3 linked regions of the Drosophila melanogaster genome follow. The protein of the gene in region 1 interacts with the protein of each later gene in a pairwise test. Each region holds a gene or a part of one and is shown on either strand. Other genes may lie near its edges.

What was found.
Region 2: the proteins of CG17855 (region 1) and CG7332 interact in a two-hybrid assay, tested with the Drosophila melanogaster proteins (one large-scale study listed by BioGRID).
Region 3: the proteins of CG17855 (region 1) and CG11906 interact in a two-hybrid assay, tested with the Drosophila melanogaster proteins (one large-scale study listed by BioGRID).

What each region holds. Positions count from the first base shown.
Region 1 is NT_033779.5:9,538,850-9,542,606, forward strand, and holds CG17855 (uncharacterized protein), read left to right. Parts: upstream 1-1,673; 5' UTR 1,674-1,794; coding exon 1,795-1,849; intron 1,850-1,903; coding exon 1,904-2,209; intron 2,210-2,268; coding exon 2,269-2,414; intron 2,415-2,468; coding exon 2,469-2,726; intron 2,727-2,784; coding exon 2,785-2,898; 3' UTR 2,899-3,631; downstream 3,632-3,757.
Region 2 is NC_004354.4:18,882,642-18,886,398, forward strand, and holds the start of CG7332 (uncharacterized protein), read left to right. Parts: upstream 1-1,871; 5' UTR 1,872-2,175; coding exon 2,176-2,533; intron 2,534-3,187; coding exon 3,188-3,321; intron 3,322-3,378; coding exon 3,379-3,757. UniProt on the Drosophila melanogaster protein: Hydrolase that can remove 'Lys-48'-linked conjugated ubiquitin from proteins.
Region 3 is NT_033778.4:19,281,967-19,285,723, reverse strand, and holds the start of CG11906 (uncharacterized protein), read left to right. Parts: upstream 1-1,762; 5' UTR 1,763-1,941; coding exon 1,942-2,172; intron 2,173-2,244; coding exon 2,245-2,952; intron 2,953-3,012; coding exon 3,013-3,355; intron 3,356-3,416; coding exon 3,417-3,594; intron 3,595-3,656; coding exon 3,657-3,757. Other genes in the region: CG10474 (uncharacterized protein), read left to right, coding at 1-151; AANATL5 (arylalkylamine N-acetyltransferase-like 5), read left to right, coding at 505-1,173.

The sequences.
Region 1 (3,757 bases):
AAAATAGAAATCTTTTGATATATACAACATTCAACCAGAATTCGAATCCGAGTCAGATACGATTACGAATCCTTGCAGATAATATTTATGTAACCAGGCGATAGAATAGAAATCCTAGAAAGCAACTAGCATATTTTAAGGTAGGAGTAGATCGTTGTGATAGGAATATTTTGTATTGTATTTTAGTGGAGTGTAGATTAGATCCGTAAAAAGTCGATTAAGTGTTTGAAGTCTGCTGCATACGTTTCGCTTTATTTCGACTTTATGCAATCTCGGTTTCGAAGTTTAACGATTGACTGAGAATCAGTTGGCGAAAGAAAAGAGAAACGAATAGCGAATTACAATGTTTTAATAATCCGAACATTTAACCATTGTCAATGGAAATTGTGCTGTGAAACAATTTGTGAGTATAGAAAACAAAAATTAACGAAAACGTTGAATTAGAAAGAAAGTGAAAATACGCTGAATGTAATTCTTATGCAAATACATCATTTAGAGAATCTTTGTGGACAAAATAGCGATGGGTTCGAATGAAGAATAGGTCTGGAATAGTTTTATGAAAAATCCTAAATTCCCTGTTTTAATGGTAGCGAGAAAATCAAGTGTCTAGCCTAGATTTTAAAACCGAATGATGTACTTTAAATGCGATAATGCCTTAAAAATATCAATTAAATATACACGCGGATAATATCAGTATCTCAACTGAAATGGGAATTCAATCGATCCATCCGGTTGTTTTCCTACGCACTGCCCGAGTGCAAGACCCCCAGTAGTCCTAAGTGATGCAATCTAGGTTAATTAGTAGCAACTATTTCTATGTTTACACCAACCAGCCACATACAGTAGGAAAGGAGGCAGAGAGGAGCTCCTCGAGCACTAAATAGATACATCCATATAAGAAATATATGTATACAATTGTACGTTAATAAGTACCTACGCGTAGCTAATAATTCGTATCGGGATATGTGTTTGTACAACATAACTTATACATTATTGAAGAGCGATTTTAAAACGGACTACAGAAAGTGAGTCTTAGGTGCAAAAGATCATATATATATATATCATATATATGTTTACTCAAAAAGTGTGTTTTAAGGAATACATATTTTTACTTAGAGAAATATTGCAAATAAACTAATAAGGACATGTATGAAATGAAAACAATGAGACTCCTAAAATGAAAAACAAAATAAACCAAAACTGCATTAAACAAGTCAATTTGTTTTTTCTTAAAAGACATTATTTTTAACGAATTTTTTAGTTATTTGAAATTTTGGCACAGTGGCGCCCCTACAAGATGGTACTCGAATTAGGGAACTACATAAATGGTGTGACCATGATGTTTGCAAGTATCTTATATCCAAGACACAAACCTAACGTACTTTAAATATAGATAACATTTTTATTAAAAATTTTTTTATAAATTTGGTTCACCATATAATATTTAAATTAACATTGTTATTTAAGCAACAAGACGAGCAAGAAATAATTAATTTTTAACGAGCCTATCTTTTGATTAGCATTTCTGATGATTAATACAAAAAACTTTTTCCATCAATTTGGGTTCCACATAGGTAAAAAAAATAATAGTGTTAATTAAATTGTTAAGACTTAAAATTTGATCGATTCTATATGTTCGTAAGCAATCGAATAACTTAACAAAGTAACTCTGCCAGCGATATCCACGCAATTCAACTCGCTGATAGCTTATCTTTACTGTTTTCAGCAACAAAAGATTTTTCAGTAGCTGAGTAATTTTTACCACTACGAATTGAAGTAATACAAATCGAACAAATGGAGAAACGTGCTACATCTACCATGCAGGTTCTCTATGCAGAACTGGCTGCCGGTGCGTATGAGCAATGTCGTTGCGTATACGCCATGTATTGAAACTCCTTTGCAGCAAAGTCCAGAAGTGCGGAGCTGGAGGAGGAAAACATTTTGCTGCGCCATCGACTAAATCGCGCATCTGCCAGCCACAGCACCAATGCGGCCATAAATGTGGAGGCCAAGATCATGGTCTTCCAATTGGAGGAGGAACGAGATCGTCTGGTGGAAACACTGCAGAAGCACAAGAAGAAGTACAACAAACTGCATGACGCTTATCTGGAGAAAGTGAAACGTTGTCGTGCTTTGGAGGAGATGTTTAAACGGCAGAAGACGCTTACAGGCTTGGTAATGAAGTCCTCTTTAGATCAAAGAAATGCAGGTGTGTTAGGAAATGGAATTTTTGCTTAAAATTAGATCAATACTCTAAAAATCTACTAGAGCAACGAATGGCTATGGAGAAAAGGCAGTCGGCCCAAAGCGATGTCAACGAATTGAACGAGCTGAAGGCCAAAGTAGAAAAACTTCAAAGAGCCCTTGATGAGTCATACGACATTATTGACGAAATGGATTTTGAACTTGAGAGCGTAAGACGCTTTAGAACGTATTAGCAAGCTTAAGTAAAAATGATTCGTTTAAAGGTGGAATTACTGGAAATGCAAAACCAATCCTTGCGGGACGAATTAGCCGCTTTTAAGGCAAAATCAGAAGAAGGAGCGACCAGTCTGCCGGCCTCGCTACCCAACGATGACGACCCACCGCCCAAATATGAGGAAGACTATCCCGGACAGCATCATAAAGCTATGCAGGCCCGGCGCTGCTCCTCTAGCAGTGAATCTGACCCCAAGGATGATGATGCCGACGCAGAAACTATGGAAAGAGCTGCTTTAACCCATAGCGTAAGCTTTAATCCTAATTCTCATTAATTATATATGTCTGATTGTTCCTTGTATTCAGCTCATACAAACTGTGGAAACAGAGAGCAATGCCCTAAGACGGGAATTGTTGAGATCCCGCTGTCAAAGAACAATTCGCGCCAAGTTGGAGAAAGAAAGCGAGCCTGTTGATTAGGATAAGTGGCGGGATTAATCTTATCACATAGCTCCCAGCCAAAAACTAAACAACCAACCAATAGATCATAATAACAAGTAGCCATACTAAAGCTGATGAAACTGATCACTAAGTTTACGCACAGAGAGCAATAACTAGACGGCTGGACTAACCCAGATTCCGAACCAACTACGCCTAACCAGTGCACATACCAGAATTTGCTTTTAAGGTTCGACAAACACGCTCGGCGGCTGCGTTAAATCAAAACTTTTGCGATATAGTAACCCGGTTTCTTGGACTGCGCGCAGAGAAACCCCTCGTCTAATGGCGATTAATTAAATTATTTGCTAATGCCATCAAACGAGTTGCGGACAGATCACCTGCCAAAAGGATCTGGCCTCCGAGCTGTGAAGGTTCCAGCCCCCGACTTCTGCCCTCCCATCCCATTTCCAATTCGACGTGGTGCGCTATCCATTAAAACATGACAATTATTTTTATGACTTAATGCAGTCGGAGGCCTTGTTGCCCAATGCCTAATGTTGCAAATTATTGACAAAGTAAATTAATCTCCACATTTGTTGGTTGGACCAGACAAACTAGCGCGACACCTCTAAGATCACCATCAAGCTCTCCCACTTGCGGCATATTCATTTGGATGCTTATCGAATGTGCGTCGCAAAAGAAAAATCAAATGCGTCATGGGTAAAAAAACTACAAGATTTTATAAATTTAAGTTTTAATAAAAATATTTTTTAAATTTCTTTATTTTGGATTCGGTGGATTTAGAAATTTCTTAAAAATATTAAGTGAGTTTTACGTCGTTTTCATTAGAAAAGAAGAATTAGGAGAATGGAATGGTTACTATTTCGTTCGACATGAA
Region 2 (3,757 bases), on another chromosome or scaffold:
GAGTGGGATTAACTTCCATTCCGGGGATTCCCCCATTGGCACCTTTCTCTACTCATGGCTCTTTGTACATTTTTGCACTGTAAAAATAAAATATTAAAAATATAAATATATAAATTGCTTGCTAAAAAAGTTTAAACAAAAACGAATGGAAAACGCGCAAAGTTTAACATAAAATATATACATACACGAAGCGACGTTATTTATATATACGCCTACAGAAACATGCAAAAAACTATTATATACAAAAAAATATATACATACATATATAAATATATATATATATACAATACTTATTTACATTGCGTATTTTAGCGTTTTATTCGACATCGGAAAAAATAAAATTAAACCAAAAACCAATCGTAGAAACGCTACAAAAGTGTTCTTTTTAACGAAAACAAAAAATAAATAAAAATAAATACAGAGAGCGGAAAATAGAATATTAAATTAAGCAACAGAAAATATTTATACACTGAGATGCCGCGGCGAGTTGAAAGTTTGAATATAAAAAAAAAAAACAGATTGGAGAGCGACAAATTTTTAATTGAATTTCTAATTTTACAAAAGCATACATGTTTTATTTACCAATCGCTGTAAATATCAAGCAACACACTATTCTGGTGGGCTTTTTTTTTTTTAATTTTAAACTGTCTCCACTATTCGGCCACAGCCCCCAGCCACGCCCCCTGAAACCAATACCACTACAATGCAAAGCTTTAATTCATTGCCACACACAACACAATTCATAGGGACACAACACATACACACCCAGCAAAGCAAATGTGCTTTAAAAATAAAAAATATGTTTCTCTTAAGTAAACTTAAAAACTTTTTACAAACAGACGAAACACAAAGACACAGAAAACAAGAACTCTGCCAAAATCAAGCTAATACAGACGAACAAAAGTAAAAACTAAATGAAACCCGAAATCTTCTCTAAAAAATAGCAACAAATTGTAAACAAGAATATAACACGGAAATAACTAATTATACATAAATGATTAAATAACGACTCGATGAGCAGAAAGAATAACAAAAATGGAAATTAAAAAGCTTATTTTATATATTCAAACATACAACAATAAAAAAAAAACCGAAATGACCATTAATGAACTAAATTATAAACGAACCGAGATATAGTGTATATGAATGATTTTTAACAATGTAAAAATTTTGAACCAGTCTCTTTCGAATTTTATTCGTTTTCAAATGGTCCGAAAAGCAAGAAGCTGAGTTAGTGAGGGAGAGAGATAGAGTGAAGAGAGGGCTAGAGCAGCGCATTATTATTAACTAATTTAATATGCAATATATCTACTATATTTAAAGAAAACCAAAATAATACAGATACATGAACGAGGAAAATTAAAATATACACCGCAAGGGAGGACATAAAATGAACACATTTTAAAACAATGAAAACAAAACGAAAAAAATTACAAAAAAAACACTCAAATAAAAAAGAAAAAAACAGGACAAAAAGGAAAAAAACATAAAAAAGGTTTGTTTTTCTCGTAACGAATTTAAATTCGGTTTAGATGGGGCGACAACTCTGTTCAGGACTATTCCCTGATTGGCACAACTATGTTATCGATTTTTGCACACAATCTAGTATATTTTTTGAATTTGCAAAGGGATTGCTTTGTTTAAATGTTACAACCAGTTTGACTTGTAATATTTGTAATAACTTCCATAAGTAATCGCTTGTTTTGTCAAATAACACTTAGAAAAAGAGAAGTTTAAAAGGTAAAGCTTAAAATTAAACAATCTCTAGACCTAGAAATTAGTAAGCTTTGCTTGCTAGGGTTCGTATTTGCAGACCGCCAATCGATTGTTTACGTATTTGCGCACACTCTGGCCACATTGCCCCACACTGTTGCACTAGTCAATCGATTGGCTGTGCCAAATAACGCCTCCTGCTATCGATATCAATCAAGAAAAAATAAAATTTATTAAATAGATTTGTACATAGGAAATCGGGTGACGCGAAGCGAATAACATCTGGTCTAGCCAAAAATGCCAACCAAGTTGGTGGGCTAAAAGAGTGAATCCGAAATCGAGGACTAGGAGCAGCAGAAGGAGTAGGAGCTGACCACCAGTGGAGGAGCGACCGTGCGAACGAGCGAGCAAACGGAGCGGAGCAGAGCAGTAAAAGCAGTGCAGCCGTTGATTTCATCGGAGATGAACGAGAAAATCGTGCGGGAGCAGCGCGGCGGCGAAGATTCCCCATCCTCCGTCTCGGCGAAAAGTGCAACGGCAGCGGCGTCAGCGTCGACAGCGTCGATGACGTTTGCCTCGGCGGCCTTGGAATCGCACAAGACGACCACCATCACGACCGCCAGCAGCAGCCCTCGCACCAGTGGAGCAAGTGCATCCGCCTCGTCATCCTCTCGATCCGCATCTGCACCTGCATCGTCGTCCAGCCAGCAGGAAAAGCAACCGATGCTGAATGCCACCGATATGCGCGAACTGCGCGAAATCAAGCAGTTGCTGTGGGGCGACAATGTGCGCGAAGATGTATTCAAGCGTTGGTCTCAAGGTAACCACCCATCTCCTCATCTTCCCATACCCCATGCACATAGTATGCACCACCACCCATTGTGGGGCAAAAAGCGCGCCCTTTTTGCGCTCGGCAAGGCTGCGTCCAGTTGGAATGGGCGCTTTTATCTTCAACTTGGCCCAGGTCATGTTCATTCATATTTACTCTTGTTTTTCCAACTACAATCAGTTGCCTTTTCGCTAAGAATAGAAACTTATCCCAGATCATGTTTAAAGCATTGCTGTCAAGAAGCAAACATGAAGATTGTAAATACTCCGCGTCTGTATTTCCATTTTCATATCTCAATTCTTATAATTGGGCATTAATTGATTACTTCTTTTAGTGGCACGAGTAGTTGTAGTATTTAATGACTAACTGAGATTATAGACAAAGTTAATTAGTTAACCTGTCATCAAATTTTGAGATAAATAAGTCCCATTTCAATGCTCTGTGAGTATTGAGTATTATCATTCAAGTACCATTCCTTGTTATCAAAGCTTTTTTTTTGCTGCTATTCCCAGTTATTAGATATGAATATAAGATTTGGTAGCTTTATGAAGGCTGGTAAGGAAGGCTGTCCTCTTGTACTCCTTCTCCACTTTTCACATTGCAGTACCCATCTTCTAATTTTACTTACACTTATTTCTCCACCAGGATTCGAGTTTAGTAAAGTGGAACCGTCTGCATTGGTGCAGAAGCAGGGCGGTCCTTGTGCTGTGATAGCGCCGGTGCAGGCGTACTTGCTTAAGATTATTATCATGGACTTGCCAGGCATCAAGCTCTCGGAGGTTGGTCAACTTCTACCACTTGAGTACCGTACCGCGCTAATCTCCACATTTATTCAGATTTCCCTCGACAAATCGCAGAACCTGCTGATCCAGGCATTGTGTGACATCCTGAAGAATTGTCGGGCGCCGCGGTACCGCATCGTCCATCTCTTGCGCCGACGAGGAAACGCTACAGAGGCTGGATCAACCAAAAAGCGCTCACCGGCTGGCGAGGAAGAATCTGCTTTAGCTGGCCAAGCGGCAGGATCTTCCGAAGAGGTGGAGGAGGCGGCAGAAGCCACTCCCGCCTCGGTCAGCAAGTTGTCCCAGGCCCTGCAGCTCGAACACGATATGCACCAGGAACTGTCGCCGGATGAGTTCCACGAGCGCCTGCACACGCTCCACTTTAAGAATATCGCAGCCGTGGCCCGCTACTATATGGAGAATTACGACCAGC
Region 3 (3,757 bases), on another chromosome or scaffold:
CAGGTGCCATGGTACTGGCATGGCCAGGGATAATGGAAAGTTTGCCTATATGGTCAGTAGTCCGGGACAACCGGTGCGCACGGAATCGGTTGAGTGCTCAGCGAATCCTGAGAAATCTCCTTCCGAAGACGATAGACAAGTTATTTGGTAATGTTTACTAATTTTGTTAGACTATAAATCTTATAATTGTTATGCACTTAGCCATTTTAAAATGTATCTGAAACCAGGAGTAGAAGAATTACGATTAGCTCCTGCATAAAAGAAAATGTGCCTCAGATTAGACCTATCGGTAGATTAAAAGGCTGAATAAAAGCATGTTCATTTTTTGCAAATGGCACGCAAACATTATCTATCATATCATATCTGAATATAGAAAATAATAAAAGTTATTATGCTTGTATTTGTTGATAACTCAGTTCGGTTTCTTTAAAAGGCTCCTGCAGTCATGTAGAATGAACCATAGTTTATCAAGCCGGGAAACCAAACATCGCTGCTCAGTCCAACATGATTCTTAGTCAAAATGATGGCATAACCGTACGAGTTATGAAGGAGGACGACTATCCAAGAGTGAAAACCTTCATGACGGACTACTTTCACTACGACGAGCCCATGGGAATGGGTCTCGAGGAGCCCATTCACCTGCAGCATGAGGAGGAAGTGGATAGGCAATACCTGGCGGTGATCAGGCAGGGACTATCCATAGTGGCACTCGACGATAACAACGGGGGACTACTGGTTGGCATTGCCGTGGCGGAGACGATGGATCCCATCGAAATGGCCAAGCAGCACAAGGAAGCCGAGGAAATGGAGCCAAATGCTTTGGGTCGCAGCAGGAAATTTATAGCCAAAGTGGAGCGCGAAGCCAACATTTTCGAACGCTTCGGAGTCTCCTCCTACCTGAGTCTGCTGGTCATCTCCGTTCACCCCTCAATGAGGCAAAGAGGTATCTTGGTCATACTTTCCAAATGTCTCTTTAAATTGGGTCGCCTGCGGGGACTCCGTCTGTTCATCGGCAGTGGCACCAATCACTACTCCTCCCGATCGGCGATGAAAGCGGGATGTGAGTGCATCCATTCGGTGGCCTATGCTGACTACAAGGACGAACAGGGCCGACCGATATATAATCCACCAGCGCCCCATACCCACATTCGGGTCTTGGCCTCAAAACTTTAATAAATTAGTACGAATTCGCAAAACTAAGTAACAAATAGGGGTGTTTTCTTATATCGCAAGAACCTTTGGACTTGACAATTGATAGAGACCGCCCAGGTGAAAATTCATGTCCAGATGGAGCTAATAAAGTAATAAAATTTAAGGGCTCTACTTTATTGTGCACAGATTGTGTTGATTATGAATTTATCAAGTACGAAGTAAGCACTTTTCACTGCTATGTAAACCACTTGATGATTGCAAACGGCATAAGCCTCTTGTGGGCTCACAATTGTACTTTTTCTTTAAAGTCGTCAAATTTATGTTTCTCGTTTCGAAAGTGCGTTGTATTTTATTTCTGTAGTGTATTGTTTTGTGGTACATATAGAAATTTTGTTTGATTTGTGTTTCCCTTAAATGATATGCTCACTAATGTGATCAATTTTAGAAAGTACATATGTATTATATTCGCTAAGTTATATGTATTAAATAAAGCAATTAGAAAATGTCGAATCCAAAATTGAATTATCTTAATTTAAAACTAACTGAAATAACCGGTTGGTGCTGCCAGACCTTTAAAGTGTCCGGTGGTATATTTTCTCAATGACAACAACGGTCACACTGCATTCTGCTCTTCAAAAAATATTTACTAGATAAAACACTTGGAATTCGGCGGATTTGAGTGTAGTTTTTCGACTCACGCATCTAATGCGGCACAGTAATGACATAAGGATCAAGTGCAATATATTGAGTGTGCCATTTGTTATCCAGTAGCGCCCCTATTACAGCAGGATGCAGGATGCCACGGCTCCGGATCCGGAACCCAGCAGCACCAACGGCAATTGCTCCGTTGAACATGACAATCGGCAGGATCAGGATGAGAACCACGTAGGCGCCGAGCGGGAAGCGGAGGCCAACGATGCCAACTGCACCGTTTGTGGTGCCGCCAAGGCATCGGCGCTTTTGGATCTGCGCTCCAACCATGTAATGCAACGTCGCCTAAGTCGCGACTGGAAGATTCATGTGGGTACTCAAGACATCATCCAATTCCGACATCCATGCCAACTCTTTGAATTCGAATTCTTTAATTATCAGGCAGATGTAATCCGATCCACATTGAAGGCCATTTGCGTGGAGTGCGTGTGCAAGCTGAACATGCACTCGGAGGTCACTCGATCCCTGATGCAGCGCATGCAACGGCTGCAGCGTTCCGGTGGTGAAACCACCAAGGTGACAACCACCACGACATCGCCCAGCCAGCACAGTCCACCCATTGCTGATGCAGAGGTGTCGACCACCTTGATTGAGAGTCAGGAGGAGGTGGCCCACAGCGGGCAGAGCGTTCGCTCGCGTTCTTCCTGCTCCGTGCTGGAAGTATACCTCGCTCAACAACCATATTCTCCATCGGCCAAGGAAACGGAAGAGAAGCATGCGGAGGGCTGGAAATGGCGAACACGGCTGGAGTGTCACGAATGTGGTCGGGCCTATTTTCGACGGGATTACTACGCCCAGCACTTGAGGCGCTGCTCCAAAACGCGCAGGAAGCAGCCACGTCCATCGCGCGTCAAATGCCGGGTACTAAATGAGGCGAGCTATGATGAAGAGGCGCCATCCAGAGCCATCCGATCATCGCGCATATACTACTGCCGGCATTGCGACGCAGAGTTTGAGACCTTAATCAGTAAGCGACAGCATGAGCGAATGAAGCATCAGCAGCGATATCCGTGTGATTTGTGCGAAGCCCAGTTGGACACGAAGTACGAGTGGGAAATGCATCACACCATCTGCCAGGCCAAGCAGGAGGTTAGTATGCATGTATCCCCCAAAAATGATATACTTATATGTTCCGTTTTTTCTGTACAGGCCTTAGCAATTGTGGAGCAGCAGGAAGCTGGCCAAACCGTTATGACTTCCCGGGTGCCAAGGGCATGCTCGATGCGCTCTCGCTCACGGGCATGCTCCGAAGCCTGGGATAGGTACGACATGGATGAGGAGGAAGAGGACGAAGAAGATGAAGAGATAGAAAGCGGTGGGGAGGAACTAGAAGAGGGCGAGGAGGATGCCATGTACGCGCGACGTATGAACTTTACTGGCGACTGGATTGTTAACCACAGCCGCAGCAATAGCAACAGCGCTGGTAATCTCTCCCTTTTGTACGGAGACTACGGAATGGTGGAAACGCACATGACCACCGACAAGGAGTATGGTAAATATCCTTTGAAATATGTTATCGTTCTGTATCAAAAAGTCTTGCTATCCGTTTTCAGATCTTTACCTACTGGACCTGCTCAAGACGCAGGTGCGACTGAAATCATTCACTTGTTTCACGCCTGACTGTGGCTACCAGACGGACACCCTAGTGGCTCTAATGAAGCACGACTACATGGAGCACTGGAAGATGAGCTGGTTTTACTGTCATAAGTGCGGCGATGTGTTCACCAGCAAGTAAGTGGGGCAGCGATCTTTTTAAAGAAAGTAGTTTATTGGTTTATTTGTGTTCCTTGCAGGGTCTTTTTAGACTACCATATGCATCTCCAGAACCGCGGCCTCTACATCTGCCATAAGTGCCGCGAAGAGTTTGAGTTGCAGCACCAGTTAGATCGGCATT